Caenorhabditis elegans: one gene and its partners. The protein of the gene in region 3 interacts with the protein of the main gene of each other region in a pairwise test. Each region holds a gene or a part of one and is shown on either strand. Other genes may lie near its edges.

Region 1 (8,596 bases), on a different chromosome or scaffold from region 3:
TATAAAAATTCTTCAACGTTTTAGCAAACACATTCAAAATGAAAAGGAAAGAAATATAACTTATCGCATGTTCCCAGAGATTCAAAAACCGATTATCGCGGCAGAATCGTTGACGGTTTTTCTTGAAAGTTGATAAAATGCGGAAAAGATGAAGTGCGCGGTAAAAAATGAGTTCTATATTAGTGTCTGCAAAAAGGTGTCGGACCCTAAGAAGTACAGATACAAAGATCAAAGATAGTTAGGTTAGAGACGATTGATACATTGTTAAAAAAAAAAGTGATAAAGTGATGAGAATATGTAGTAACAGTTTTTCGTATTTTGGTTATGCTTCAGAAAATACGAATGTGTAGGTGTTCTTGATATATATTTATAAATAGGTTAGGTACTGAACAATGATTCATCAATGGATTAGAACGGCTTATTTGTGATTTTACTATGTTGCAAAATTTCCATCATGACACATTATTGACGAATAGTTCAGTTATAAAATGGATATCTAATCTAGGAATGGTCAAGATACGAGCAAAAAGCATAAAAACATTTCCTTGAAAAATTACACTTGAGAGTAATATTAGAAGTCGAACGTCTTCACAAAAACGCGTTCATTTGCTGTTCGGCCAGAAAAGTACTAATAACAGGAAAGCGATTAGTTCAAAAGTAATTATTCAAACTCTCTGGTATGATGTATTAATGGAAGCCTGGAAGGAAAAATAATTTGATTAACCAAAGTCAATATTACAAAAACGATGTCAAATCGCTCGCTCTTTGATTTCCCCGTTTTATGATTCCCGCGGTATTATTCCCGCGGTTTCCATTTCATGACCGCCGTCGCCCCATCATTTACATAATTCGATCAACTCTTCCGTATATAAGACTATTTCTTGGCCTCTTGCAGCACCCCTCAATCATTCAGTCAATCATTCAACCAACTTGTATTTGCTATTATTATTTAATAAATATTACTTTGGGAATCACGTTTAAGATCTTAACCTGTCCTCAGGACAATAACGATGATGTCTGAAAATATAAAAATAAATATCTGTATGTACAAAAATAACCAAGCTTTATGAATGCGATCTTTTTTCCAACGCTAATATTTTTCTTCTCACGTTTCTGAAAAAACCCGTTTGAAAATAGAATTTATCATTTATATATTTTTTAACTTGTAACACTGTTTATGTTCTTTATGCATATTGAAACTGTTTCAGTACGTACCGAATCTATAGACGCGCCGAGGCCAATAATCGATAATACAACGAGGTGGTCCATATTGTGCGAGTAACTTGTGACTACCTGTAAGAAAACGGGCTAAACGGAAGAACAACGTTCAAAAAATAATTCATCCCTCCAAAATCCACAACAAACGGTTTGCAATGTATGCATATTTATTTATAGGCGTTTTTCAAATACATTGGGTACATAAGAGATCTTGGTCAATCTTTCACGAGAGGAGAGTAGAAAAATATGTTATAACATCACATTAAGAGAATAATCTGGTGGAAAAATCAAAATAATCACTAGTAAAGGTGACGAAAAAAAAAAATTTAAATTACAATTTTTTAATTGCCGAAGAGAAACTTGTTTTGAATTCAGATAGGGCAAGAAAATATGGAACATTTAGTAAAGAAACTATTATAGGAATCGGAAACTCTGACACATCCTTCAAGATCTACATGGAAAGTAAGATGTGCCACAAATGAAGATGTCGAGGAAAAGGATTTTGTTCTTGAAGGATTTTGACGATGGCAACAAGAAATATTGGGTATTGCACCCTTGTAGTACAACGAGTACATATGTTCTATCATGTTTAATCAATGAGTTGTATGAATCTCCTAGAAGGGGGAGATAATTTAGATAATGGAGGGGTGCATATACTACATAACAATTAAAAATAGCATTGATCCCATGTTATCTTCTGCTGACAGTCTAAACAACTGATAATTGTATACCTGCATCTGATTCTATTTTTAGTTTTACCTATAAATCAGCAAACTTGGTTAATAAATACCAATATACTTTAATGAAAATTCGTGTTAAGGAGTGGTTTTCTGAAACTGTACAACACTTTGATTGAAAGCTTGTTTGAATGTTAACTGGCTTGTATGTTTTGATGTTATATTCAATGGGCTGTGAAACAACTTTATTGTAGAATTTAAGAATAAAAATTTAAACCACATTGAAAATGCAAATTATGGCAGTGAATGCTATTAAAACATAAATTTCAAAGATAAAACAAACTTTAATTTAACCTATCGTTGAAAGGCATTTGCATAATGGAAGACGTGAAAAATACAATTAATTGACTAGATATAGAGATTCGACTATTTGAGGCGGTGTTGTATGAAAGTATTGAATATAAGTACAAATTGAAAAACATAAATATGAAAGAAATGGGCGATGTAACCCTGTCTGACTGATTTTTTTTAACACAAAAAATTAGCATGGTGGCTTTGGTGGGCACTGAGTCAATCCACGGCATTGCTGGGATTCTTCGGCAAGACCGATGCAGTGACATCCGGATTCTCCAACACATTGACGGCTTCTGTAAGATATAATTCAGATTCTTAACATGTCTTCATCAAAAACTATTTCAGACCTAGATTGTACTCCAACTTCGCATGCAAGTTGTGTTGAGCATGGACTCCATTCGCACCTGGACATTTGAAAAAACTAATTAATACCAATGTAACAGTTTTAACTACCAAGTATTCCAAGCGCATTGAGGAGCACATGACTGACTGTTACATTCCTTTTCTTCACGATCTGGTCCATCGCAGTGGCATGATGAATCCGGACTTCCAGCGCTGTTCAAACATGTACGAGTGCGAATTGACTGTAATTCATTATTACCCCGTTCTGAACATATATTCAATATATCTCACCTGACCACCCCCGCATTCCTTGTCGCACATGGACCAGTGACACCACTCAGACCAGTTGCAGCAAGATTGCCCTTCGCAAAGGGTAGTTTCAATACTTGGTCCTTGGCAAGTAGTGGCTTCTTGCCCGTTTGGTCCAAGGCACCCACGAGTTCTAGTCCGTTGTCCGGGTCCGCACTTTGAAGAGCATCCTGACCACTCGCACCACTCTGTCCACTCGGCACATGGAGGTCCGTAGCAGAATTGGCTCTCTTCGTTTGGTCCTTGGCAATCAGTTCCAAATTGGCAGACACGTTGTCTCCGCTTCATTCCGCTTCCGCATGAAGCCGAGCATGTAGACCACTCTTGCCATGGAGACCAAAGAGAGCATGGTCCACCATCACAGGCACGTTGTTCAGTCTTTGGTCCTTGACAGAGATGATCACCGAAAACACCTCCGAGACATGTACGCTGACGAACTGCGACTCCTTGTCCGCAAGTCACAGAGCATTGTCCCCAATCTTCCCATTGAGACCATTCTGGGCATGGTCCAGCACTGCATTGCTCAGATTCGTAGTCCTTTCCTTCACATCTGTTTGTACCAAGATGACAGAATCGAGTTCTCTCGCGTTGACCTGATCCACAGCTAGCAGAGCAAGTTGACCACTCGCACCATTCAGACCATGTCTGACATGGGCCAAGATTACATGGCTCAGTCTCATAATCAGCTCCTTGGCAGTTATTGGTGGAGCATTCACGTCTTCTTGATTTAGCTCCATCTCCACAGGTGCATGAGCAGGTAGACCAGTCAGACCAATCATGCCAAACTCCAGAAACAACTGGTGGGTTGACACATCCTTGTCCATCGCATGCTGGCGGTGGTGGGGGAGCTGGACGATATCTGGTTGGGTAGGGCTGTGGAAGTGGTGGCTGAGTGGCAGTGTTGATCACTGGAGCAAGAACTGGCGGTGGTGTTGGGCGTTCTTGTTGTGGGGCCTGTGGAACTGGGGCGCAGAAACCTCCTGGGCATGGATCAGCCTTTGGACGAGCTGGATGTCTCTGATTGAAGTTCTCGCGGTATTGAGACATTCTCTGCTGATAGAGTTGAGCATGTTGATCGAGTGGAGAACGCTCAAGTTCTGGTTGCTGCTGTGGCTGCTGCTGTTGCGGATGTTGTTGTGGAGGGACTGGCCCACTTTGGAGTTGGATTTGAGATTGTCCGAACTGTGTTGTCTGTTGTGGCTGTTGCTGTGGATTTTGTTGACGTTGCTGCTGTTGTTGCTGCTGTTGTTGTTGTTGCTGCTGTTGTTCTCTCTGCCTTTGAAGATGAAGCTCGTGAGTTCCAGAGAAGGACTGTGGCTGTTGTGGTGGTCGCTGTGGTGGCTGTGGCTGTGGTTGTGGCTGTGGCTGTGGTGGACGTTGCTGCTGCTGCTGTTGCTGTTGTTGTTGTTGTTGCTGGTGCTGCTGAAGACGAGCCTGATGTTCTCTGTGTTGTTGTTCTCTTTGTTGCTGTTCCCTTTGCTGCTGCTGTTGCTGTGCACTTGGGTACTCTGGGGCACGTGGCGCATACTGCTGCGCTGGTGGAGCTGGGACTCTTTGTGGAGCAGATCTAGCTGGACATCCACGACGTTGGATTTTTCTTCCGTATTCGCATGCCTGAGAGCGCACCTCGTGTCCGTTACTGGAGCAATGGGACCAATCTGTCCAATCTCCGACTCCTTCAACAGCTTCATCGCCTTGTTCTAAAATCACAACTTTATATAAACCGAAGTAACGATCGAAATCTTACGTCTCTTCTTTCTGTCAACCTTATCGGTAGACGAAGCCAAACCGTCCTCCTCCAGTGGTGGATGAGCATCAAATTGGTGGCAGTCGACGACCAGTTCGAGCATTCTAACAATATCTTTCTTGTTTTCTGGCTTTTGCTCGACAAGGTCAATTTTATCTTGAACCGAGTTGTCGGAGAAGAGGTAGCAGAAATGCTTCTTTGTTTCGTTATGCAAGTAGTAGTAAACCACTGAAAACAAGTTGAACTTTTTTGTGAAGTTAATGTTTTTTTAGTCTTCATGACCCCAAACGCAGAGATCAAATTTCGAAGACGGAGTTTTGCGAATCAAGGAGGGGCAGTGTAAATTTGCAAAAGCAATCAGTTAAAGAAGCAGAAAAAGAGATATTTGCGGATGAGTGTCATTTGTTATAGATATTGCTTGACACATCACATCAATCTTCTTGGGCCGGATAGGATCCGGTGCAAAAATGAAAATTTTACCTGCGGAGCACTCTGGGAAGATGTCCACGCATTTCTTCTGACACTCGTAGGCGGTTGCCTGCATCATCAGCAATGGAGATGATCCTTCTGAAATAATCAAAGTGGTACGTGGACACACACGAAGTTAATGACGGATAATTGATTTATGTTTGTTTTGCTGCAAACACCTAATGCGTGAATTGTCAATAAATGAAACTAAAACAATAATTTATTTTTCATCAATGATTTTAGAAATACTAGTTTTTAGATGACTTGTATCAATTTTTTAGTGAAACGCATATGTTAATTAGAAACCAATAATATTCAAAAGGAAAATAAGATTTTCAGAACAATACAGTTTTTAAAACCTAGAGAAGTTTAATGAATTATAGTGATGAGATAAAATATTAATTTTTCAGGGGAAATGACCTGATGTAATTCAATGAACTTACCAAGAGCAGTGTTGTTGTGCATTCTGGCGCACAAATCATCAATTTTTGTGACATTTTTTCCTCTGGATACCGAGATTCTACCTGAAACTTGTTTTTCTTACACTTGCGTATCAACTTCACTGTTAGTAATACCTTTTGTGTATGACAAGCTTGAGGTTCATGCTTTATTTTTTTACCTATTACACCTTACTTCTCGCCCTCTCATAATGAAAGCTGAACCTCAAACCAGTTTCCATCTATAAACATATATACTCACCTGCGTCGGCTAGGCAGAACAAGACCGCTAAGGCGAATAAGCCTACAGTAGCCTGCATGTTGCGGCTGATAATGGACGGGACCGCGGACACGAGAGTGCACAACAAGTGACTGACGATGATACTGGGCGGAGTCGAGAAACAAGAAGAGAGGTAAGAAAAAGAAGAAGATGAAGAGGAAAAAGAAGAAGAAGAAGCTGAAACATCAGGGAGTGATAAAAAGAATGAGGAAGGGGGTTGAAAATACTACTGTAGTATAGGAAAGAAGAGAGGTATCAACTTTTCTTTCTATTTTTTTTAAGGAAAAATGCTCTACGCTTCTACTCAAACCAAAAGTGAGGCTAAAGATCAAAAAGAGTTGTGCGGTGAGCAGAAAAGTTAGAGAGAAACAGGAAGCAGTAATGGATGCTGAGAACGTTTTCAAATCGAACTCAAAGCCTGCGAGTATGCATTGATTATGATCGAGTCTTGAAGAGTAAAATACTAGACCAAAACAGAAATTATTCAGAATTGAGCAAACCTGTGCGGGTCAGAAAGTCATGTTGCCTTCAGGAAGTAGCAAAGATTAAAAAAAAACAATTAATTTTAAAAAGTATACAAACTTTCAAGTGAAAAAAAAAACAAAATTGCTTTTCTCATAGGTAATCTGTTTGAAATTGGAATTTGTTGTTCCTATTCATATGTCTTTTGGTGTATTAAAACCCCATATCTAAACAAAATAAGTTCTCCTCCCTATGTCGTCACATATCCATCAACTCCACTTTGAGTGATATTTTATCCTCGGCACTTTTCTTCGTTTCACAACACAACACAACATTTCGCACACATTTTTCATCCTCGTTATTTATTGCACAGTTGTTCAATTTAAAATCACTTTGAGGAGGTCCACCGCGGTCATTTGTTGCTCGGAAACTATACTATAATGTTCGAAGATGAGATTGATGACATTCTAGGAATCGACTCAAAAACTCGAAACTTTTGGTTTCTTGACAAACCCATATCATGCGAGCTTTTCGAGGTTGCAAACTTCAGGAAAGCATGCATCCGAAACGTCGAAATTTGAGCGAGCTGCTGACAAGTGCTGATGAACAAATCATATCCTTCGTGTTTTAATAAAAGCTTGGTGGCTGATGTGTCAGGCGAAAAACGAAAAAGAAAAGCAAAGAAAAGATAAGAGCAAGTCAGAAGCGGTATGGGCAACGGAAGCACACGCGACAATTTTTTCCACGAATCAGTGAGAAGCGAAGAAAGAAGAAGTTCAGGTGAAACATGAGATTCTGCTGAGAAGTGAGCAAGACAAGAGCAAAGCAGAGAGTTTGGAATGAAGCAAGTATGAAGATTATATGATTGATAGGCGGTGACTCATTAAGGTGGAATTACAAAAAATGTGAAGAGCTCATTCTTAATCACTACCAGTTGTGGGTGAATAAAATGGAGTTATGGAGACAATAATTTATGATTTAAAATATATCAAATCACTAAAAATTTCACTGTAAGTATTAAAAAAATACATCCAAAACCAGTCGTCTCATTTTGGCAGTTGGGCACATTACAACGCTGAATGCAATTTCAAACTCAATCGAAATTATGCAGCCGTAAGAATCAAAAATACTGTGAGAGAGTACAAATTATCGGAAAGTAATTTTAAAAAACTGCCCCCCCCCCCCCCGAAATTCAATGTGCCACTTCTCTTGGTTTATTCTACTTTCAGTCTCCAATTTAAACAAAAATTAGATTTTACACTCATTTCATATTCTGATTTTTATCCCAGACTGCATGTGACCACGTCACAAGTGTCACTTTTTGATTTTTCCGCAGCATTTTCTTTACGTTCATCATCCCTTAGCGTATCACAAAAATTTATTACACTTATATTACGAATACGCAAATCATATGAGCCAGACATGTGCAACAATGTGGAATGAAAAAATACATACAAATATACAAATACACAGAGGGTCGGGTGAACATTTAAAACTGAAAACCAAACTCAAAATTCAAAAGAAAAACGCATCTAAATCGCAAGACATCGGCAGTCGTATAAAGTGTTGTAGGTGTAACGGAAGTTCATGCACTTGCCAGGGCAATATCCTTCAGGATCCATACATTTTCTGCAGAACAAAAACTTAATAACTTGCTGTCAGTGTCAACTTCTCTCAAATATTTTTTTCAAATAATTTACGCAATCTTAACGTACCTTGTAAAAGTGTTGAATCCGCAAATGTGTGGAGCTAATGTACCTCCTTGGACATTAGGGACAGGGTTGTAATCAGGAACTATTCCTGACCGTATATTTCCCTGCAAAGCAAAAATGTTATATGTTCTCAAAAAAAAAAACATTTTTAAGCAATAAAAATTGTTGATGTTTACCTAGCTCACCTGATTTGCTCCATACCAGTGATTTGGGGCATACGGCCATTGCGACAACACTGCACCAACCAATAAACAACTAACGATGTAAATTTTAACAGTCATGAGATGGAAACGATGAAAAGTGATGAAAGTAAGTGAAAAGAATAAAAGAAAGGCGACGTGATGATGTTGTCAGTTAGTGAGGTAAAACGAGGTGAACACGAAGATTGATGGCGTCATATGTATCACAGTTTTTGTAATGGTTTCGTTCAATTTTTGACATGAATTGTTTCAGAAACCGGTGTATTTGAACCCTGACACTCATGGTGATTAATTCTGTTTTCGAAATTAAAAGGTGTTGAGAGGTTGGAAAAAACAATACTCACCAACATTCAAATAATTGGAAAATTAAACTTTCTATAAAAATTGTTC
Region 2 (10,051 bases), on a different chromosome or scaffold from region 3:
TTAAATATAAAGAAATTTTCAGAATGAATACGAATGACCTATTCGGAGGTGTAAGCAGTGATGAAGAGGAACAATGTGTCATGCCACAACAGATGCCAAGTGAGAAGGATGTACTTGCAGATTTGAAAATGAGGTAAAGACCAAGTGTAAAAACATGCAAGATAATACTTGTATAATCTCTTCCACTCTTTTAAAAGTTTTAACCAAATTCAATTATCACTAAAAGTGGACATTTTGTTTCAGTTCGAGAAAGTTTCATGAAAAATTTTTTTACATCCCAGAATCAGGCACATCTTAATTTTGAATAATTTTCATCAGAGACAGAACCTCTAGAGTTAGTTTTCAGTTAAATCTCATTTGCGTCACAGTTGTTTAAAAATAAAAAAAAATAGTGGCAGTCTTCGGTTACTGTACCCATTTTTCATTTTCAAGATTTGTTTAAAATTATATTTTTGTTCTAGTGATAAAGAAGATATACTCGTGGAAACTGCGCCGTCTGTGGAAAAGAAGGAAGAACCTATCGTCAAAATGGAGGAAACCATCTCAATAACTCAACAGTCTTTTCTGCCGCAAATCAAGCCTCAAGTTGTCTTCTATCTTCCAAATGATAATACTTCTACAATTGTTTTTAAATCATTTTGGATGCACAACGGAAAGCCCATTAGAGAAATCGTTGACGGACAGGGAACTAGTCAATTCACTGCTTGTTTCAAAGAATCTGTATGTTAATTGAAAGCTGAATAGCGCCAGGGGGTGTTCAAAATCACTTCTATAGAACATTTTCTGATCAAAAATCCAATTGAAAAATTTCAAAAAATTATTTCAAAAGTTTTCATCTAGTTTGGCATTTTGTCAAAACTTTGACCATATTTAAAAAAAAAAAACTAATTTCAAATTTTCAGGTTCGGGAGGAAGAGCAGCGAAGAAAAAGATTACGCGAGGAAAAAGAAAAAGAAAACGCGATGAGAGCTGCTTCTCCGGAAATTCCAGCCGGTCCCCCACCCACAAAACGGCAAATTCTGGAGCAAGAAGAGAAGGAAATTATTCTATTGAAAAATCAAGTTCTCGTTGCCAACTTCTCACAAGAACAAATTGAACGATACGAGGTTTATAGAAAGTGAGTTGATTTTCCATTTTTGAATTACAGATTGCCATGGAATTCCTTTGTATAAAACTTAATTTTTACAGATCATCGTTTAAAAAGTCCACAATCAAACGTCTTATCAATGAATTCACTGGAGGAATTGACCTTGGAAAAAAGGTAGATATTGCAGTAGCTGGATTGGCAAAAGTGTTGGTTGGCGAAATTGTTGAAGAAGCTCTTGATATCAGAGATTTGGATGAAAAAGAAGCAAAAGAACCACTCCAGCCACATCACATTCGTCAGGCATATCTTCGTCTTGGAGAACAGGGAAAACTCTTACCGTCATTTGGACAAGGAAATAATTGAGCTTTATTGCCAGAGAAGAACTTTTTTCGAACAATATGGGTGTTTTTTTGTTTATATTGTTATTTCATCGATCTCTATTGTGACAAAGTTGTCTATATTTTTGGTTTATATTGGAAATGAATCATTGGAAGTGGTAAATGATTTCTATACTTCCATAAAAATAACCTTCCAATCCACATAAACTTGAATTAGAAAAATGCCGGGGTACTGTAGATTGAATCTGGTCTCCTCTCAAAAATGATTGTGATGGTTATCGTTTTTCTCAAAAACATTTGAATCAACACCTAATTTAAAAAATCTAAATTCATTTTAAAAAACGAATGAATTCGTACACGAAGTCTTGAAAAAGGAAACGCGGGCACCAAAAAAAATTTTCGATTTCTGTAATTTTCCCCCAGTAGAGTTCTACTTGAGCAAAGTAAAAGTGGAACATTTCTAGATAAGAAAAATGCTCACGAGTTGAGTATGATCTTCTAACCATCTTGATATTTTAACTTTTCAATAATAACTTTTTACACTTTAAACATGGCAGCCTTCTGATTTCACATAATGGGAAACTTAGAATTGGAAATTTCGTTTTATTTCAAAAGAAGAAAACTCAAAACATAGCTAAAAATAGCAATACGATTGACGTCAAAACAGAACTTTGAAAATATAGATTTCTGATTTTCAGGCTCTTTTTGGCATCGATTTTTTCCAGTTACATGGAAAAACAATGAGAGGAAAATGAACAATTGATAGAGGAAAAACAGACAACCGTACAGTGTAAGTTATGCAGAAAAATTATTTGTTTGGTGGGGAATACACATGTACGTGGGAATGAGATGGCGAAAAAGTCAAGAAAAAACATCAAAAAATAAATGAAAGAATTTAGAAATTTTAGAGAACAAAGTCGTGAACCCCGGAGCTCTTGTTTAACTCTTTCCATTTCCCAACTGAACTCTGCAACAGATGAATCCATTGTCATTGCCCGTGTAAAGACATGCTGAGTTGTCTGGACAAGATTGTGGAGTTCCAGCACGAGCATATCTAAAATTATACAAAATTGAAAACCATTCAATTTTTCAAATCAAATTTCACTTACGGATTGCACGTCCTATAGTTTCCAGCCAACTCGACTGGAACCAAATTAGCTGGTTGTGGTGGGCAAACATTCGGCAATCGAACATCTGACTCAAGTCCACAACAGATATATCTTTCCAAATTAGTGGAGAATTGGCAATGTCTGTTGGCTCCACAACCCTGGATGGCGTCATTGAGTGGAGCTGATGGAGAGCAGTATTTGTACTGGGCTCCGTTTTCTCCTGGTACAGGAACAAGTTGTGGTGGGCAGTCTAAAAGAAAATGACTAAATTATGAGGGTTAACTCGAAGATACTTACATCCTGTATCAACAGAGTCTGGGGATCTGCAGCAGTAGAAAGCATTGACTGATGTTGTTGTAGTTGAGAACCAGCAGAAGAAGTTTCCAGGGCAAGCTCCATCAACATTTGGAGTACATTGCATTGGTTGAAGTGAGAGAGCAGAAATGAATGGAGTTGAAGCAGCAGGGCAGAGAGCTGGAAATTAATTTTTGGAATTTTGAAAGATAAAAAGTATGTTTAAGAAGCTGTAATTAAAAAAACTAACATTGAAGTTCAGTCGAAGCTCCGCAGCAAACATTCTGATCAAGAAGTGGTGAAGAATAACAAGTGTAACCATCGGGACAACCACCGGAAACTCTTCCATTTCCACCTGGATTTGAGCATTGAACAAGTCTGCTTCCATCTCCATCCTTGGCAACAACAGTTCCTGGTGGACAGGCTTCCGAAAGACAATAGTTTTGACAAGACTTTTGAGAAGCAAAGTTATTGCGATTTCCTTCACATCCATTATATTCAAATGTTTGGCATGTCTTTGAATCAGCATTGAAGTACCATCTGGAGATTCTTGTGCTAGAACATCTAACTCCGACGTCACGTGGTTGAGAGCATACGAAATTCTTTGATGGACAGCAGAGACTCTTTGTTTGGTAAACGGTTCCAGTCCATGTGGTAACTGGTGTACAGTAATGAGTAGATGGGCATTGTCGGTTAGTTGTACAAGCACGTGCTGCTCCATTCTGCTCCTTCCATACTTCTCCTCCATCTGGACATGATTCAACTCTACAGTAATCCTTACAATCTTGTTGAGTGGCAAAGTTATTAGAGTTTCCATCACAACCATTGAAAGAGTATGTCTGACAAGTTCTAGTTGTAGAATCATAATACCAACGAGTGACAGCTGGTCCACAAGATGCTCCAGATTTGTAAGACAATGAACAAGTGTAAGCTTGAGTTGGACAACATCCATAGGTGGTTCCATCATAATAACAGTAATGATTAGCTGGACAGGTGGTAGAAGCAGCTGAAGATCCTCCACAGATAATGAAGTTTCCGTTGGAATCAGTAAGAGCGGTTCCTTGAATACATTGTGGCTCACTGCGAGCATCTCTACAGTAATCTTGGCATTCTTTGTACGTTTCGAAGTTATTAGCATTTCCTTGACATCCAGAATAGATAAACTCTTCGCAGTTTCCGGTTTTAGCATTGAACCACCAACGATTGGAATATGTTCCACAGTTACCTTGTTCTCTTGGCAACTTGCACACGTACTGCGGACGTGGACAACAGACTCCTCCGAAAGTAGTTGAGCCAGAAGTAGACTCACAGGAGTGAGTAGATGGACATGAGTTGGCTCCAGAACCAGTTGGTGAGCATTCCATGTTGCGTTCTCCAGATGAATCCTTGAGTGGTTCTCCAGCAGAACAGAGAACTGAAATATACATGTTTAAAGTTAAAATTCTTCAAAGAAAACAGTTTCCTTACTTCTTGAGCAGAATTTCTCACAGTGATCTTGAGAAAGGAAGTTGTTAAAGTTTCCTCCCTGTCCGAGATACGAGAATTGAATACAACGTCCTTCTCGCGAATCGTAGTAGAATCTTGGCGAAGTGTTTCCAGAACCATCTGGGATTCCGACATCAAAGTATTCGGTTGGTAGACCTCCGGCTGTATTGTAGACTTCTGATGGAATTCCTCCATTTCGAGAGCAGATGAACACTAAAAATTTAAATTAATAAGTACCATCTTGAATATTCAAAGGTTTTATTCTCTTAATATCAAAATTCGGTAAACTCTCATAAACTTACAGTAAGTTGGACAACATTGTTGAAGAGTTCCCATGGTTGTACATTGATAGTTCGGGTTGTTACATCCATTGTCATTTCCTTGACAATAAACTGGCTCTTGTTTGACTCCAGTTGTACGGTCACGATACAATGGAAGACCGCGGTTACAGGCTGAACAGTTTTAATTTTAAAGTAGAATTTGACTTTTTCAAATTGGAAGTTGTTAAACACGGTTAATTTTCTATGTGTCCGTCAGCAACCTCACACTATTGGCATGGTGGTAGGACGATTCACATATAGACTATTAAACTGAGTCTACTGTGCTCATTGAGGCTATATGTATACATCGCAAATTAACCATATAATTTCATTCAATAAATATAAACTCACTTTGTTTACAGTAAGACTCGCAATGATCCTTTGTCTGGAAGTTGTTGGCATTTCCACCGTATCCTTGATATTTGAGCTCTCTACATTCTCCGGTAATTGGGTCATGGTACCAATGATTCAAAGTAGTACCACCACCTGGTGGAGTGTATCCTTCATTTGGTGGTTGAATACAAGCAAATGCACGTGATGGACAACAGAAACTGATAGGATTGTTGACGGTACAATCATCAGAATCACAAATACAATCGTATGAAAGAGCTCCAATAGCTTCACACGTGGCATCGGCTCCTCCGTAGCACTGTTGAACTTGGTTTTCAATGCGGAACTTTGGATTATTTCCGTTAAGTGGACAGAATCCATAGTTGAGACACACAAGACCATCACGAGTACGGAATGGTGGTTGATTGTTGGCACATCGACATTCTCCTGATCTACAGTATGCACCTGGCCAAACGGCTTCACATTGTCGATTTTGTGTACATCCAGACTCTCCCGGATTGATTTCTAAATATATTATTTCATTTCAATTGAAGAAAATTAGTAAAAATTTCAACTACATTGCAGTTTTCACTTATGACTCAAGAAATGGAAAATTGGAAATTTATTTTTCGTGCGAAACGAGTTTATTGAGTTTAAATCCTCACTTTTCAACATTTGTTTGTTACAAATTGTTTCGTAAAAACTGTATCATAAAGGGTCAAATTGCTTAAAAACGTTTACTGATGTACCAAAAAAACGATTTAGGTGTTAGTTTGAAAGATTGAGAAAGTGAATAATCAATTCATAATTTATTTATGCATCAAAGAAGAAAATGGTTCACAAGGAAGGTAAGAAAAGAGAAAATAAGAGAAAAGCAGTCGGTGGCAAAATAAGTTAGGCTTATATATGTGTGTGTGCTTGCGCTGGTGGCATTTTTGTGACTCAAATTTTGCAGAAACGACAACTAAAATCGGATGAGGAGAAAAAAGTTAAAAGAGCAACCCGCCAGGATGGAGAACAACAACCCAGCAAAACGACGACGATAAGCAATGAAACGAAACAATAAAAAATAATGTTGATGAGCATCCGTGTTGGTTCTGGATGTTTCGTTTTGACAAGAGAAGAAAATAGAAGGACCTAGGGTATACTAAAAACACGGGAGACGAGGATAACAGCGCGAGATAAAACGAATCAGGATACTAAATTCTTTGTATGGCATTATTCGTTGGAAGATACATAGAATCACAATTTAAAATGCCATACATAGTATTTGCCAAAATAAAAAGAATATAGATTGTGAGAAACAAAGAAGAAAGTCTAAAGGGATGGGGCCACGATATGAGCTTAGGAGAACAAACTGGATGGGGAACGAAGACGCCGGGAGTTTTCGGTTCGTTGTGCCAAGAGATCTCATTTTAGAAGTTGGCACGACCCGAGCAACTCACGGCGGATATCGGGTAAAAACCTAGAAATTTTGGAGCCCGTGTTACGGGAATCGTTGTAGGGAATCTAGACGTTTTCGATGCCATTTTCACATAGATAAAAAGGAAACGAAGAATTGAAATGAAAGTTTGATGGGACTATGAAGGGGAAAAACGGAAAAGTGCCTAACATGAAAAAACGCATGCATTCAACATGAATACACAAATGTACGTGAAATATGAATAATGATGAAAACGACAAGAAGAATGTGAATTAAAGTTAGAAAGCGAGAAGGCGAGAAGCTAGCACAGCGAGAATGGGGGAAGGTGATCAGTATGGGGATCTACAGTAATCTCGTTTCTCTTTATTTTATCAAATACTTACTTCTCCAGCAATAAGAATCAATCTCGACATATGTCGTCAGACAGGCACATCGCTTATTTCCAGCACAATAATTTCCGGTTCCGCAATCTGTGGAGACCTCACAAGGCCGTCCTACGGTTCCGTGTTGGGCACGGACCGCGATAGCGGCAAGCAGCAACAGAGCCGCTAATTTAAGCATTGTGCTCGCTTATCGTTTGTTGAAAACTGCTATATCACAGTGATCAATAGGGAATAATGGGGGGAGTGAGTGGGGGGACAAACGATTTGTCGGGCGTTTGACCGTGTCCGTCGTCTCTTCGCACGACCGCAAATACCACTACCAAATATCTTAGAAGGGGCCGAGAGTCAGTCAACACGAACAGACAAACCTCTATACAGCACACAGTCACCGTCAACCCGTCGACTATGGACTTGGTGGTGCTCACGGCGGTGGCTCCGAGACCCGCCCAGTCGTTGCTCTATTACTTCCTGGGCGGAACTGTCGTCCCATCTTTCTTGAGCGCGATCTCTCTCACAATATCGAAATGGTTAATTCTCGGTAAACAAATGCGCACAGAGCTCTCGCAGTTAGTGAATAAGAGAACCTAGACATACCGATTGACCCATATTGAACTATTCAAAGAGAAAAGAGTTAATAGAAAAAGATCCCCATCTAATCACCAGAAATGGTTAAAGGAACAAGAGGAAACTGGACAAAAACAGAGAAAAACTGTAACAGGAAATATAATACGGGGATGTGGGGAGGGATGGAGGGATGGAGATGATTGGAAACAGAAATTGAAGACTAGGAAGATGTTGTTGTTGTTGGTGTTTGAGATGAAGGAGCAACCGAATCAACAATTGGTTTTACCGAATTCGTTATCGAGCTTGAAGTACCGTTTTCAATTGGAGCCTCAGAGTTTGACTCTCTGAAAAATTAATTTTTAAAAAGTTTTTCAAAACTTCATTTTGAAATTTACCTCGTTGATGTTTCATTCTCCTCTTCCTGAACACCTTCTGCAATACGAGCAGCACGAATATCAAAAGCCACTGCAATTGCTTTTTCGACTCCTTCCGAATCCAGCTGAAATTAAAGTTTTGATATTTATGTGTTTTTTGAAGTGTTTGGTTTATTCTCTCTTCTTCTCATATTATCATTTTCAACGCGCATGTTTGTTAGCTATGTGTCGAGTGACCATCAGCGTGCGCTAGCGCTATAGAGGATAAGCATCATTATGAGCAACTCGATAGACCAAGAAAAAAAGGTCACCCCCCCCCCCCCCCATCATCCAACGTGCAGTGTGTTTGCCGGTGTCCTTATTTGTTGAGAAAGCCGTAAGAGTCTCTCTATCAGCAGATTATCCTTTTCTGCATTCTCCACTTAGAGTGAGCGAAGAGAAGAAAAGTTTAAGGGAGAACGCCAACAAAGTCACTCACCTGACACATAAAACCGTGTGTAATCAGATTTTCAGTCAAAGTTTCTGGATTGTCACCCTTGTTGATCGACGTTGTTAATTGCCGATGCATTTGATCTTCTAATAGAAGAACAATTGACATTTCTCTGAAAATTAATTTGTTAATGTAAATAATTACATCAGGTTTCATCAGATGCGAACTTTGCACTTTTTTCCTCTAATATACGATACCCGGTCTCGACACGACAATTGTTTTCGCAAATTCAGAAAAGTGGGTGCCTTTAAAGAATACTGTAGTTTTAAAATCTAGTTGCTTCGGAATTTCCATCGATTTTCATAGTTTTCCGATAAAAATATATTTATGTATTTGAAAAATATATAATATACAAAGTTAGTAACTTTCGTTCAAACTTCTACAAAATTTTCATCAAAATTTCATAGTTTTTATCTTGGTTTTGTCCAAATTTAAATTGTTGTACTTTTATATTTATTTTTTAAATATTTAAACTTTTCATCAAAAAACTATGAAAAGTCTATTGTAATTCCGAAGCAAATACGTTTTAAAACTACAGTACTCTTTAAAGGCGCGCGCCTTTTCGCATTTAACATTAAATTTTTCGTGTCGAGACCCGAATCATCAAATTTCGGGTCTTATTTAAAATTCTATCAGGAAAGGGTGAACTGATTCAGGAAGTATACTTTGAAAGAAAAGAAACGTACTCATTTTCAATATGCACATTGATCTCCAAAATGTGTCTATTTTCTAACCGCATATCTCTCTCCCCATTTGGTTCTCCTTCTTCTTCCGGAGTCGGTGATCCAGCATCACGCCCATTTGATGATCCTATTGTAACATTTGCTCCATTGACTTCAACTTCGACTTTACTCGTTGATTCCGTACTCGTAACTTCACCGATTTTCTTATCAACTGCTTCAGGACTTGCTGATTTACCGATGGAAGATGGTCCATTTGTATTAGTTGTTGTACCACTTGGCTGTGATGATTGACCAGGTAAACTAGTATTAACTGATGTTTCTGCAGTGATTGTTGAGTTGGCTGAAGGATGCGTTGATGAAGGAGCAGATATATCCGTAGTGATCAAAGTCGATGGATTAGTCTGAAAACTCTATAATTTTCATAGATTTACACAAGTTCTTTCTGTATCTCATACATTCGAATATGCCCGTAATGTTGTAGATGGTTGATGTGCAAGTGGTGCAAATGCAGTTAATGGATAAATTCCATTTCGAACATCATCGAGAAATTTTTCTAGATCAACTTGAAATGCGGCCACTTGGCAATAAGCCATCTCTCTTAATTTCGACGTTGCAGCAATCTGAAAAACAATGTAGTTTAAATTAATGTACTTAGTTCACTGTATTCGATCAAAAGGTAGTGTAGATAACCGAGAAGCGCCGACAAAGTGACCGACGAATCAAATATTTACTTTTGTGGAGGGGGGAAAGAGTAACAACAAAACGAACTCCTCATATGGCCATTTACCCGATAACTTTTAGAACGCATTAGTCTATGTGGGGATTCAACTTACTGTTTCATTGTCTTTTATTCGGAATGCACTTTCCGAAACATCTTCATACTTTTTCGAGTCGACAATTGCGTGCGCAGAGAGCAATTTTAATGAGTGAACCTGAAATTTTGGTAATTATGCTTCAGAAAAAAATGTCATTGAAATTTGTATTTGAAATTTTTTGACTCGCGAAGTATACAACTACCACACTTGGAATTTTTTAAAGGTTTTTTTTTTGGCAGAATACCAAATTTTTAAAAAAAATTGAGTTTTTGAGAAATGAATAGAAATTTTATATGTTAGAGTACACATCGGCTTTAGATAAAATTAATTTTAACATAATTAGAATCTAAAAATTT
Region 3 (5,711 bases):
AATTTCAGATTCAACAGCAGCTTAGGATTCAGATGGATGTGGTGATCCTGATGTATCCTCTTCGTTGTTTCGTAGACAGACGTGGTTTTTAACAAGTAGAAGATCTCTTCTTGAAGATTGGGTGAGTAACATCTTGCAAATGACTCTCTTGATGATTGATGTTCAGATTGCACAACTGATGGAGCTTCTCCACACTCAGTGTAATTATACACAAGCAGGCCATGTCCATATTGTTTCCCGCTCCTTTGAACATATATTTTTTGCGGAGTCGTGGACATGACAGCAAAGTACTGTCCATTGTGCATAATTGAAATTCCTGGATGGTGTCTTTTCTCACGCAGACTCTCAGATGGTTGTGGTAGTCAAAGCGAAGCGGAGCTGATGTCTCTTCTGCAATAATTAAAATTTGCAACGATTTTCTCATTCACTAAGGGCGTCAATATTTGAGAAATTTAGAGTCGTATAACTAGTGTATAAACTGTGAGTATAACACTTACCAATATCAGACCACGGTCCCACTTTGTCTGTTGCCAGTAAACAGAAGGTAACATCCTTTCCATCTACAAAAAAAAGGCAAATATGCCTTTTCCAAAATGGTGGAGCTTCTGGTACTTGCGTGTTGAGGCATCCAATTTCTTCTCTGAAAATTAAGATATTACATGTGGCTTTTTGATAGTTAACTAACATTAAGTCCGACTGGTTAACCAGATATTTTAGCTGCCAATAGCTGTCGTTCCAAAACTTTGAATCCAGCTTCAGGTAGAAAGTCCCATCATTAGCAATTCCGGCAGGTAGAATGAATGGGCAATATTTGCTCGATTTTCCTCCCAAGACATCATTGACCAAATCGTGTTGCATACCGTCATTCTGTAATATTCATTTTATCAAGTTATCATTTCGTTTTTATTTAACATACGGTTTTTGGAAAATTTCCCTTTTTCAGAGGCTTGTACAGACCAAAGTTGGGACGTGGTGTTCTGCCTTCGCAAGTGTAGTCGTACATGATCGGAGCGTGGCTAACCACATGCTTTGAAAAAGACTCCATCAGATAGTAGACCTAAAAACAATGGTTTCTGAATTTCTTTTTTGGATTATTGTTTTTTTAAATTTGATATGTTACTTTCACTATGCTCTCCCTAGAGTAAATTATGTTTCTTAACTATTAAATAGAATTAAAAATGTCATCCTTTATCGGTGCTTACAGACACACAATAACGGAAAATTGTGGCGAGGCATTTCTGGGCAGTGGAAACTGACAAAAAAAAAGGAAAAAACACGCTCTTAACCTTTCGAAATCACATGAGAAATCTGTGTCCAGAAATTCCCGCATTGCAAGTAGATCAAACAGTTGCGCAGCTGCACAGAGATGAATCGATGGAGTGCGCAGACACAATGAGAAAGAGACGACCCTCGTGGGAGCATGTACTCTTCTAGATCTTCAAAACACGCAAAAATCGATGGAAAATATGATTATTTTTAGAGTCGTCGAAGGAAGGGGAGGAGTCTAGTCAACAAGGTAGATCAAAAATAAATTTTAAAAAATTTGCTATCGTATTTTTTCGATAATATTTTTGTTCATTTCTCAAAAAAAAAACCAATTAAAATAATTTCTAGTTACAATATTTGTATTTGTACATTTCAAATCACAAGTTAATTCGAAGCAAAACTAGAAAAATGACCCGAGAATCTGATATCAAGGGTCTCTGTGTTCAGGACATCATTTTTTAAAAATATTTTCCACAGGATCTAAAAATAAATGCACTTTGGGAATTAAGCGCACATCATTCTGATAAGATTTAGAGTGGAAAACGATTTTTTAAGAAAAATTTATTGAGATTAAAAATATATCGCTGTTCGACATTTAAAAAAAAAACTGTTCAAAGAAAAAATTAAATATAGATCACAAAAAAATTATTAAAATGATGATAAAATGAAATTCTAGCACAATTCGATTTTCTTGAAATCGTCGTCTCGAAGGACATGCTGGATTGTCATTCCACATTTTCGCTTTCTGCATCCACTGATTTTAGGATTGGGAGATTCCAGTTCTCCAACAATCTGTGAGTAGTTGTCCAAAATGAATTTGAGTTGTGTTTCCGATAAATCATTGAATCCTCCAGAGTCAACTTTCAGTGATTGCTGACATTTTTGCTGTCGATTGGCAGAGTAGGCTTTGGATTGGAGAATAGCTGCTTGTGATAGTGTTCCTGAAAATAATTTACTAAGATTTAAGAGTGAATAAATTTGATATTAATACTCAAGTCTTCATAACTGCCTATCGTCTTTCTATTTTTTACCAGGCATCCTTGTGCCTACTTTAAAGCTTCAACTAACCTGGTGCAAATGTACCCTTGGCTAGTACCACCTCGTCTCCTGGCTGCCCAGTTGCTTTCATTGCGTCCAAATGAGTTCTCAGTTGAATTTTGTTCTCAAAAATCCAATGGCAACAACTACACGACTGTACATCTACATATCCATGAGCATGTTGCAAGTGCTTCTTTATACTTTCTCCCAGAATCGGAGCACCTTCACAGTTTGAGACGCAGATGAGACACGTGTGATTCTTGGTGTGAAGTCTGTCCCTATGGCGAGTCATTGAGCCCGTTTGACTGAATGTAAGTTGACAGTAACCGCAGATTGGTGCTTCAGATTTAGGCGAAAAATATGGAGGCATTTTCTGAAAAAAAAGAGATTTAGGAAGAATAGTCGTGAAAAAATATACATTTTTAAAGAAAACACACAATCTTTCGATACAGACCGAATGAAGAGCACACTGGGTTAGAGGAAAATGTGGTGAATGAATGTGTGGTCTTCGTTACATACACAACGTGTCATGATGGGTAACTAGGCGGAGTCCATCGACAACCTGGCGTTCCACCAGGTTTACACCCGACCAAGTACTGCGTTCATGTATCAAATTGCGGTTGGACTCTATAAACATCCAATCAATAAACAGTGGTCTGCTATCCGCTGAGTTCAAGCAGAAAAAGTGAATTTTCAGTCATACCGTTTAGTGCACAAATTGAGATTGAATAAAATCGACCATTTATATGCAAAATTAATAGATTTCCCAATTTTTAAAAATTCATATCTGGCTTCAAACTAGCTTTTTCAAAAATCCCTGCAGCCATTTTGTTGCAAATTTTGTGTTCTTTCAGAATTTAAAAACCAAATTTCCTTTTACCTTTTCTAAATGAAAAACCTTTTCTAATTGAAATATTCCAATGTTTGGTATAATTTTTCAATTGCTACACCATTTTTCGATGAATTTCTCTATTTTTTTCGATTCTCAACTATAATGGTCCTATGAAAAAAGCACCTCGGAAAGGAATTTCAACACCACATCATCAGTCACAATATGCAATTTTATTAACATCGGGATTTTTGGGAAATTTTGGAAACTTGTCGAACTAGACTTTTCCATCTAGTTGACCTTTTTCAAGAAAATCCGTCTTTGACGATTATGTGTAAATTGTTCATTTGAATAAAAAATTTAATTACTCCGTTTGTTCCGTGGGCAAACGGAAGGCAACACCCATTTACATTGAAATTAAAATCATGTTCTTCTTCCTATTCTTCAACATTTTCTTCACACCAACAGAAGCGGATCTAATTTGTGTGGAGTGCTTCTTCTTCTTCTTCTTTTTCTACGTTGTCTTGTTCAAGTATCTAGTACCAAAATGGGAAGGAACCAAAGAGAGAGAAGAAGGACAAACAAAATCGTAAAATGAGAGAAATAGGAGGAGATGGAAGATTTTATTGGTGAGATTAGAGGAAACCAAAACTGAAAGCACCTCAACAACTTCTAAAGTCTTTTTTTCTGGTTTCAGTATCACTTTGGTGTACTGTAGGTGTCAATAGCCTTTACCTTGAAAGCTGAAAAAAAATTTTAAATTATTTAAAAACTTTCAATGATTTCAATTAAAATAATTCATCAGACTGCCTTGATTTTTTCGCTAAAATAAGATTCGAAACGAATATTTACCAATTTTCAGATATTTTCGTCTGTAAAAAAATTGATAGCCAGAAGAAATTTGTATCTAACATATTTTGAAAAAATTTAAAAAAAGTTTAAACTTTTAGCAGCTTTTAAATCGGAAACAAGTTAGGAAATTCAAATGCAACGGAATTCCAAAATTAATTCAGCTTTTTCAATTTTGTTTCAGTAGGTATAATCGTTTGAAAATATTATGAATTTTATTACACAGTGAAAATGTTTACATTTTCTACATATTAAAGCAAAAGACAAACTCTGTATTTAAATTCCAATTGGGAATGAGTTCACGACTAAACATGAAAATATGAAATCTCAAAATTTTGAAGAGACTGTCAATTAAATTGGTTTTTGGTTGCTATTTTTTCATAGCTCCGTATTTTTCGTTTTTTTTTCTGCATCCAAAACCGGAACACGCAATCTTTCCCTATCCCCCGACATCCTCTCCCAACCGAAGACTACTAATTTTCAGTTTTTTTCCCATTACGCCGCTTGTATTTCGATAGTTGTTATTGTTGTTTTGTTAATGCTCTCTACCTCCCGTTCTTTTTATTCTCTTTAAAATTTCTTTATCGTGATTCTCTCCCACTCACTCACTCAACCACTATCTACATTCGGTGTCAAAAACAACAACAACACACCGTCTCGTTTTCATCCTTTTTCGTTTTTTTCCTCTCGTATACCCGCTAGCAATTCGAGTTCCACAAGCGTTAGCCGGGCTACCAGTTGTTTTTCAGCTTCTCACGTTCTCGGTTTACATAAATTTTCACACTGGGAGGTATAGGTTTTCAGTTAGCTTTCAGTTTTCAAAGCGTGCTTCACGTCTTAAAAAAAGTTTTTAAAAAAAATTTCAAACCTATAAATCCAGTCATATCGTAATTTCCTAGTTTTTGAAACTCACACTAAAAGACGCACAGATATATTTGAATGGGTCTCACCTCGAAACGCCAACAAGTAGCTCTTTTTACTTTTGATGTTTAAATTATTTCTTGTTAAAAATACATTATAAATGGGAGGCTAATATACCATATTTCTACCAGTAGGCCCCCCCCCCCACTTTGATGGTCTAAATCAGGGCTGTTTTTTTTTTGTTTTTTTTGGTTTTTTGTTTTTTTGATTTTTTTGGTATTTTTGGGAAAAATTGATTTTTTGGTTTTTTTGGTTTTTTGACGCCAAAAAAACCAAAAAAACCAAAAAATCAATTACAGCACTGATTCCGCAAAAAATTAAACAAAAAACCTTCTGTTCGTTCAATTTTTAATATTTTATGAAAAATTCCGTTTTGTCCCGTTCAAAATCAAACATTGAATTGTTTTTTTGTTTTTTGTTTTTTTGTTTTTTTGTTTTTTTTTGGTATTTTTGAAAAATTCGATTTTTTGTTTTTTGTTTTTTGGTCCAAAGTTCGACCAAAAAATTTTTTGTTTTTTGTTTTTTGGTCGAAAATTTTTTTTTGCAACAGCCCTGGTCTAAATCTCAGTTGTCTTAACTTTTCTCAAAAAACCTTAAACAACCAAAATACAACAAATATTTTGCACACGTACTGTCAGTGGACATATTTTTGATAAAGCCAAAGAGAACCGAGATATAAGCTTTCAAATATTTTTTATTATTGCAAACAAGGGTGCTCGAGTGAAAATACGGTAGTCTTTTTTTGTGGCGAGATCCATCAAGATACTCCATTCGTCTAGACATTTCAAAAATGGAAAAATGGAAAAAT
Region 4 (8,425 bases), on a different chromosome or scaffold from region 3:
CGTAGAAGTGGTTGTTCGGAGCGGCCGACACGTTGGGAGTTCCGCAGCTTGGTGTGTGCTCAACGTATTGCGAAAGGGAGTTATTTGGAGCGGCGGACACGTTCGGTGTTCCGCAGCTTGGCGTGAAATGAGTAGCCTGGTGTGTGCGCAACGTAGTGCAAAAAAGTGGTTGTTTGGAGCGGCGGACATTTTCGGGGTTCCGCGGAGGCCGGCGCGGCGACCGCTGGGGTCGGCGGAGGCGCCGTTGCGGCCATAACTCTTGATAAAAACTGATTTTCAGAGATTTAAAACCACAAAACTTGCTTCTCGACGAAGACGGTGTTTTAAAACTCGCAGACTTTGGTCTAGCCAGGGCGAAATCTGTGCCGAGTAGGACATATTCTCACGAGGTGGTCACTTTATGGTACCGCCCGCCTGATGTTCTCATGGGAAGTACCGACTATTCAACTTCCCTGGATATGTGGTAGGAGGATATTATTTTATAAAAGGTACCAACTATATCTACTAACTTTGCAGGGGAGTCGGTTGCATATTCGCTGAAATTTGCACGGGCGCCGCTTTGTTCCCGGGATCCAAGGACTCTCACTACCCCGGCACCAAGGACCAGTTGGATATGATCTTCAGCATTCGGGGTACTCCAGACGAGAAAAAGTGGCCGGAGGTGAGGGAATCTAAAATCTAGAGATAAAGATGTTTGTTTCAGGTAAAGACATTACCAGGCTACACCCCTGAACTGTTCCCCAGGTATCGGGAGTTGTCGTTCATCGCGGTGAACCCGATGTTCACGAAGATTCTGAAGACTGGTCAGGAACTTCTGGGGATGCTTCTTCAGGTAAGTAGACTTGTAAAAACCACTCCTTTAGTCCCGAAAAGACCGAATATCATAATAAAACGTTTCAAAAAAATTTTGAAAATTTTTTATTTACTGTAATTTTACCACTCATAATTTTGGAAGTCGACCAACAAAAAAAAAATTTTTTTTCCTACATTTTTATACTGTAATTGTGTTTTAATTATTTGTATTAAAATATTGTAGGGGTCGGAACATGCGACATTGCTCTAGATTTCCTCAATTGCTCATTTTTCAAAATTTTAGCAGTTTGCCAAAAATTTGACCTGAAATTGTGAAAAATCTAATTTTTTGGATTGTTTTATTATGAAATTTGGTTTTTTTTTCGGATCATTATGTATGTATTTTGACAAAATTTTCACTGGCGCTACTCCACCTTTAAGTCAGTCCAGGCCTACTAGTCTAATCTTTGACAAATCAGTCTTCGCGAGCTATATTGAGCAGCAATCTTTGAGTGCAAGCTCAAGCCGAAAGCTTAAGCCCTGGCTGCAATGCTAGTCTAAATGAATCGACATCGAGCTACACCTATCTTGTAACCCTCAAAATTACAGCTCCGCCCGGAAAGCCGTGTCTCCGCAGCCAGTGCAATGCTTCACCCCTACTTTGCCTCATTCCCCCGCGAGGTTCATCTCCTGGCTCCAAGCCAGTCAATATTCCGGCTCAAAGAGCTGAAAGATCTGCGATCACTATAACGACCAAATCTACTACATCTCCAATTTCTTTACACATATTTTCTTGCTCCAAATTGCTACGGGTGCTAAAAGCTAATATAAATGTATGTATGTACTTATTTGTTTTATTAGTCATGTTGAATTATTATTACGAGGTGGTATTTATGTGATATGTGAGAATCGGAGGGAGTCGCTTCAAGTTATGAACGTGTTCCTGGGCATGGGTAGCATTGCTGAAAACTTTAAGATAAGGAAGCTCATTAAACCAACACCTACCGCTGTTCCGAAGTCTCTCTTCCTCCGCTTCAGACCAGTATCCTGTGTACAGATGTTACAGTCTTCTCCCAAAAAGTTTCTCTTCACTCTATGCCGACACTGTGGGAATGCCATGCAATTCTGCTCCGAGACGTTGATATTCGGCTGCCCGAAGTTTCTCTTGACACGATGTGGCGTGAGCCCAGAGACTCCACACCTCGAGCACTTCTTACGACGGAACACGGCTTCTCGTTTGGTTCTCTTGTCTGCATAGACTTTTTGGAAGACTGCGTACTCGACGTTGTTCAGGCAATCGTCACTTTGTTGGCAGGAGCGGCGTTGCTTTCTGCGGGTCTCGATGGTTTCCTCAGAGGATTCGTCGTCCTGAAATGAAAATTTTAAAATCCGCATTGATGTGACGCCAGTTGAGATCTCTGCGTCTCTCAACTCCCGCATTTTTTGTAGATCTACGTAGATCAAACCAAAATGGGACACTCTGACACCACATGAACCAGATCAATTTTTGGTGTGCCACGATGAAGTACACGCGTAAAATCCAGTAAATTGTTGAAATCATTGTGAAATGACCACGCCAATAATTTTTTGAGTGTAAAAAGTCATGAACTGTGTCAAAAAAATGGTGAAAACTGTGGAAATCCCATGAAGAAAGTCCATTTTAGGCCAAATTCGTCACTTTTGGGAGTTAGATGTGCAGGTGGTCTCGCCGCGAATACAGTATCCTTCTCAGTGGCGCGTGCGCGCGTGATTCAATTAGGGGGTTTTTTTTTTGGAATTTTCAAAAAGTTCTTACAGGATCTAAAATTTCAGGTCTAGTCCTCACCTCATCATCATCATCAAATCCTTCCTTATACCCCTTCTTTGCTCTGATATCCGCGATAGCTTCGCTCATCGTCATATGCTTCTCCACCTTCTCGACTTCTCTCTTCTTTCTGCTAGCCAAGGCAAGTGTCACCCATGCCGGACACGGAACACAGGATGCAGCATTATCCGGAGCGAAGAACTGCCGCTTGACTCTCTTGTGCTCCTCCATCGCCATCTCGTACTCTTCCACCAGCTTCTTGTGCTCCTCCACAGCTTTGTAGTACGTGTCGAGCCGATCTGCATTTCTCTTTCTTCTCTTCTTCTGAGCCAGAACACAGGCTGGGAACTTCATGCATCCTCCTGGATTGTTGCCACCTGAGGAGGCCTTGGATAGGAGCTTCACGATATCCAAAATTCCTTTTGGATTGTAGGCTTGTCGTTTGCTTCGCTCATTGATACTGAACTCATCGTTATCACACTGTTCATCTGCATATCTTTTCTCTCTTTTCAAGCACTGATCTCTCTCGGCTTCCCGCTTCTTTCTACCGTAGTGTCCATTGCATGGCTCACAATATTGGGATCCGATCAGGTTTCTCTTATAGCGACGGACATGCAGGGTACATTGTGGATGAGGAAGGCACTGCAAAAATAAATTTAGCTTCGTTAATTTCTATGAGTCAAACTCACGCCAGCTCTCTTAGTTCTGTGCCCGGCGAGTGGAGTTCCAACTGGCGACTGCGATCCGCGTGGCGTTTGATCTCCGAGGAACGGGTTCCAATCAGAGTATTGTGGTTGTAGGTAGGTACACGGAACACAATCGAGAGACCGCTTGGTTCTCTTGAGCGGAGTTCCGTTCAGACACAGCTGGCATGCTCCATTTCCAAAGTTCATGTTTCTCTTGACTCGAACGTGGGCTCTTCGGAAGTCGTAGAGTCTTCCGGCTGTTGGAGGCGATTCCACGTGGTCAGAGGATTGTTCGATGAGCTTTTTGGTGACGGACACTTGAGATGTCTTGGTTCCAGCAACGCGGGATTTTGATTTTATTATGGTCTTTACCGGCTTTGAAATCAGAGTCGGTGGGGATTGTTGACCAAGGAGTCCGACTGAAAATTTTTTATTTATTTTACTTATTTTCAGCGTTTTGAAAATCCACGTGGTGTCAAAGTGTCTCATTTTGGTTTGATCTTCGAAAAATGCGGGAGAAAAGACGCAGACTTTTCAACTGATTTCGCATGGTTAAGAACATGCTGTTGGGAATTTTTTGGTTTTTTTGGTATTTTGACGAAAAATCTAAAAAAAAAGTTTACCGTGTCTAGTGTCGACTCGAGACTATTCTGTATTAAAATACATTAAAACATGTATTTTAACACAGTTGTGACGTCATAAATGTATTTTAATACATTTTGCAACATTACTTGAATAACCCCATTAAAAATCAACTTAAGCATATCAAAAATTTTTTGGTTTTTTTTTTGTTTTTTTTTTGGTTTTTTTGGTTTTTCAAAAACTTCTTTGGTCCAAAAATTTTTTTTTTGGTCCCAGCCCTGATGCTGACGTTACATTTTCCTGGGCGAGAAATTCCCGCATTTTTTGTAGATCAAACCACTATGAGACAGCCTGACACTACGTGAAAATCTAAACTTATAGCTTACTTGGCTGGCAATGAAGCCCCGGTGCGTCTCTCTTAGTTCTCTTCCCAAGCATCAGACGTTTTCTGCAAGGGCACGATGGACAGGCGCGAAGGCAAGGTGGGACCGAAGCGAGGCAGTTATCCAGCTTCAACTCAGGACAGCAAGGCTGTTCAGGTGGGCAGCAAGCCTTTTGCCCTTGATTACAACATGTGGGGTTCTGATAGTAACAGCAAGGTCTTCCGCATCCACAATCTCCATTCGGACATCCGGACCTGCACGGTGTTCTTCCATAAGGCTGTGATCCACAGCATTGCGTTGGAGCTTCCGGAGCCGGTGGTGGTGGAGGTGGTGGCGGTGGTGGAGCAGCAGGTGTTGGTGGAGGACAGCAAGTTCTTGGTGGGTTTGGTGGTGCTGGGACGCCTCCAGGGTTGCCTTCCTCGTCCTCGTACTCTTCGTATTCGGGGCGACGACCTCGGCAGCAGGGTTTCGGGCAACAGTTTGGGGTTGCCGGGCAGCAAGGGCCGAAGGCTGGCTGGCAACACGGTTTTGGTGGGGGAGGTGGCGGACAGCAGGCAAGTGGGATTGGTTTTTGAGAGGAGCAGCAAGCTGGAATTTCAATTGTCTCATTTCGGCTTGATCTACGTAGATCTACAAAAAATGCGGGAGAAGAAATGGGAGACGCAGATTTCTCAACTGATTTCGTATGGTTAAGAATGTGATGACGTCATTTTTTTCTGGTCATAAACTTCCCGCATTTTTTATAGATCAAACCGTAATGGGTCAGCCTGACACCACGTTGACAAGTCTTATAGAATCGCAAACTTACAGCTCGAACAACAAGATCTATTCGGGAAAAGATCACATCCCGAACATCCACACGAGCATCTCTTCCTCCTAGTCTCCAATCTCAAGGTGAGCGGAACCAAGTTCGTCTCATTGGCACCAATGAAGTGCGGTGGAAGATCAGCTTGTCGAAGATGACTGTCGTATTTCACTGTAATCAAGATGATTAGGAAACGTTTAGGTGAAATGGTGGATACTTTTCATAGGAAGTACCAGGTCCACATGATCCTCTGGGAATCTTTCAGGAGCACTGTCGGCCAAAGCCAGCACGAGCACGTTGAGCGCTATCGCCCAACTACTCCAATGCATTCTGAAATGGTTGGCAATTGGGGGATTTTTGAGAATTAGCAGAATTCGGATAGAGTCAAATAAAATTAGCTCGGCATTCGGCTCTAGCTTCATGCCCAAGTTTGGCCCAAAAATATTAACTTGGAACAGAAGTTGGCTAAACTTGGGCAAAAGTTGGGCAAAAGTTGGGCGAAAATTGGGCAAAAACTTCTACGCAAGTTCGAAACAAAAAAAGTTTAGGCCAAAGTTTGTTGGGTGAAACTTGGGTTAAACTTTGATATTGCCTGAATCCAAGTTTTGCCAAAGTATTGCCCAACTTCTGATCCAAGTTAATATTTTTGGGCTAAACTTGGGCAAGAAGCCCAAATGCCGAGTGTTCAAAGCACCTTACATAGTTATCCAAGCAAACATTTATCGAAGGTTGCAGAAAAAAAAACGGATGGCAAATGGATATTGTAAAAAAAAAGAAAACATGAAGAAGACTATATTTTTTCTTACTAAAACTTTCTTCCTTAAATCTATATATTCCTAAACTTTGAGACAAAAATTTGTGTGCTTTTATGGTCAGAACTGTATAAAATAGACGCAGAATGCATTAAAGGTGGAGTAGCGCCAGTGGGGAAATTGCTTTAAAACATGCCTATGGTACCACAATGACCCAATATCATGATAATGGTGCGTCCATAGTCTGCGGAAAACGGGAATTTCCCGCGTGCGGAAGCGTCCATAGTCTGCGGAAAAAACAAGAAGTTTCTCGCTTTGTTATTGGTCAATTTCAAAATAGTGGGCGTGTTCAACCAATTAGAGGCTGTAAAATTTTAAGCTGAGCAATGAGAAAACAAGAAACAACAGCTGATTGGTTGGCCACGCCTACTTTTTTGAATTTCGAGGAAAAAAAAGCGAGGAACTCCGGTTTTTCTATGGACGCACCATAAAAAATTCAAAAAAATTTTCTAAATTTTATATGATTTTTTGAAAATTGAAAGAATCTCAGTTTTTGCCTAATTCCTATTTGAATTACCGCCAATTGGATTTGTTCGATGGAGCGCGCTTGCACGTTTTTAAGTTTATTTATTTTATGTTTTGTTATTTTCCACCCATTTTAAATGTTTTTTATGCAAATTTTCGATTAAAAAGCACGCTTACAGGCGTAAAAATGAACCTGAATTGATTAATTTCACTGATTTACCTGTACGCTTGCTTTTTAATCGAAAATTTGCATTTATTTTGACTTTTTCTCTAAAATTCAAGCAAAAATACACCGAAAACATTAAAAATCGGTGGAAAATAACAAAAAATAAAATAAATAAATTTAAAAACGTGCAAGTGCGCTCCATCGAGCAAATCCAATTGGCGGTAATTCAAATATGAATTAAGTGAAAACCTTAGATTTTTTCAATTTTCAAAAAATCATATAAAATTTAGAAAATTTTTTTGAATTTTTTTATCATGATATTCGGTCATTGTGGTATCATAGGCGTGTTTTAAAGCAATTTTCCCACTGGCGCTACTCCACCTTTAAATGCAGAAATTTTCGCAACAAGAATGACCGCTTATAGTAGTCTTCTGAGTCTTCAAATTAAAGTAAAATAGGCCGTCTTCAGTCATTTCAAGTCAGGGTAGAACAATTTCCCTAATAAATAACCATGATGTTAAGCAATAAAAGAAGAATGGCAAGTTGCATAAGAGAAAATCCAAGCGCAAGCCGATGGAATCGTTTGAAACAATGAAGTGAAGCGACGAGGTGGGATAACCTGTCCTCCCGGGCGGAGGCGTGTATTTCTCGAGACAATGGCGGACGGGTTCCACTCTTATCAGATGTCTTATCAGTGGATGTATTCTTACGCGAGAAGGCGCTTGTTAGCTCATAGCTTTTTGTCGAGAAACGAGTGTGTGTGTGTGTGTGTGTGTGTGTGTCACCTTGTGAGGAGAGGATAAATTGATAAGGCAAAATTGAGAATTGAGAATCGGATAAGAGGAAAAAGCGTCTTTTTTTTGTTAAACGTTTGTATTGCTTTCTCGAAATTGCCTGAAAACACCGAATTTTCTATTGAAAACTCATTAAAAACCTTGAAGATTAGCAAGTTAGTAGGTAGGTTAGCAGGTTCCGGCAAATCGGCAAATCGCCAAATTGCTGGAATTGAAATTTCCGGCCATTCGGCAAATTGGCAAATCGCTGGAATTGAAATTTCCGGCAAACCGGCAAATTGCCGAAAATTTTCGGAAAATTTTGGTTTCGCACTTTTTTTTTTTTTTTTTGAAATTTCCGAATTTCAATTTCAAATGGCAAAATTGAACGCATCCTATAAATGTTCCAACATCTATTTTGAAAAATAAGTAAATTTTATGAAAATATGTTTAAAAAAACGGAAAAATTCAAAAAGACACCGTTTTAAGTGTCTTTTGTTTAAATTAACAAATTTTAGGCCATTTTTTGAGCCTTCATAACTTTTTTTTTGAATAGATTTCAAGAAGTTTCAATATGAAATTCGGTGGTTTCAGTCAATTTTAAGTCTACACGTGGTGTCATAGTGTCTCATTTTGGCTTGATCTACAAAAAATGCGGGAGAAGAGACGCAGAGTACTCAACCGATATCGCATGGTTAAAAACGTGCTGATGATGTCACATTTTGTTGGGAGTAAACATTCCCGCATTTTTAGTAGATCAAACCGTAATGGGACAGCCTGGAACCGCGTGAGTTTGAATTAGTGTGTTTCAAAAAAGAAGTACCAATATTTTATTGAATTATTATTGCGTTCCATACATGAAATCCAAGTGATTATTGCAATAGAATAGTGAGGCCTGCAAAAAACTAGAATAGAAATCTATTAAAAATTGGAAGGGGAACATCTACATGTGTCAACCGGACAAAGAAATAATTCTTATCATAGAAAATGGGAAAATTGTGTGAAGACAAAAAAAAACATATCCTAGAAAGGGGGCAATCCTGATGACTATATATATATATATTTATCAAAATCATTGTGCATGGTAAGAAAAATTATTAATTATTATGAGAAGCTGCAGGCGGTTGGGGTGAAATTGAAGACAAAAGCGAAACCAG

Evidence for each region.
Region 1: the proteins of sdz-38 (region 3) and T21B6.3 interact in a two-hybrid assay, tested with the Caenorhabditis elegans proteins (one large-scale study listed by BioGRID).
Region 2: the proteins of sdz-38 (region 3) and K10D3.4 interact in a two-hybrid assay, tested with the Caenorhabditis elegans proteins (one large-scale study listed by BioGRID).
Region 4: the proteins of sdz-38 (region 3) and ZC123.1 interact in a two-hybrid assay, tested with the Caenorhabditis elegans proteins (one large-scale study listed by BioGRID).

What each region holds. Positions count from the first base shown.
Region 1 is NC_003284.9:10,943,031-10,951,626, forward strand, and holds T21B6.3 (Apple domain-containing protein), read right to left. Parts: upstream 5,923-8,596; 5' UTR 5,873-5,922; coding exon 5,815-5,872; intron 5,640-5,814; coding exon 5,559-5,639; intron 5,295-5,558; exon of another isoform or gene 5,231-5,294; intron 5,215-5,230; coding exon 5,128-5,214; intron 4,876-5,127; coding exon 4,648-4,875; intron 4,601-4,647; coding exon 2,883-4,600; intron 2,834-2,882; coding exon 2,703-2,833; intron 2,654-2,702; coding exon 2,597-2,653; intron 2,543-2,596; coding exon 2,437-2,542; 3' UTR 2,130-2,436; downstream 1-2,129. Other genes in the region: K09C8.7 (uncharacterized protein), read right to left, coding at 7,827-7,923, 8,010-8,110, 8,192-8,287.
Region 2 is NC_003279.8:7,132,725-7,142,775, forward strand, and holds K10D3.4 (BPTI/Kunitz inhibitor domain-containing protein), read right to left. Parts: upstream 7,250-10,051; 5' UTR 6,948-7,249; coding exon 6,770-6,947; exon of another isoform or gene 5,758-6,769; intron 5,489-5,757; coding exon 4,985-5,488; intron 4,766-4,984; coding exon 4,616-4,765; intron 4,527-4,615; coding exon 4,296-4,526; intron 4,243-4,295; coding exon 3,079-4,242; intron 3,009-3,078; coding exon 2,832-3,008; intron 2,785-2,831; coding exon 2,535-2,784; intron 2,480-2,534; coding exon 2,365-2,479; 3' UTR 2,014-2,364; downstream 1-2,013. Other genes in the region: taf-11.2 (Transcription initiation factor TFIID subunit 11), read left to right, coding at 24-133, 462-720, 903-1,117, 1,189-1,450; hpo-11 (Protein kinase domain-containing protein), read right to left, coding at 7,554-7,677, 7,729-7,832, 8,186-8,309, 8,884-9,281, 9,336-9,500, 9,714-9,812.
Region 3 is NC_003280.10:9,979,074-9,984,784, forward strand, and holds sdz-38 (C2H2-type domain-containing protein), read right to left. Parts: upstream 2,788-5,711; 5' UTR 2,723-2,787; intron 2,678-2,722; 5' UTR 2,675-2,677; coding exon 2,335-2,674; intron 2,208-2,334; coding exon 1,939-2,207; 3' UTR 1,813-1,938; downstream 1-1,812. Other genes in the region: ZK892.6 (uncharacterized protein), read right to left, coding at 89-390, 498-640, 686-867, 917-1,003.
Region 4 is NC_003279.8:834,953-843,377, reverse strand, and holds ZC123.1 (Sperm mitochondrial-associated cysteine-rich protein-like), read right to left. Parts: upstream 5,383-8,425; 5' UTR 5,277-5,382; coding exon 5,270-5,276; intron 5,224-5,269; coding exon 5,056-5,223; intron 4,836-5,055; coding exon 4,251-4,835; intron 3,702-4,250; coding exon 3,286-3,701; intron 3,239-3,285; coding exon 2,618-3,238; intron 2,161-2,617; coding exon 1,798-2,160; intron 1,755-1,797; coding exon 1,722-1,754; 3' UTR 1,632-1,721; downstream 1-1,631. Other genes in the region: cdk-14 (Protein kinase domain-containing protein), read left to right, coding at 281-463, 517-661, 704-832, 1,402-1,542.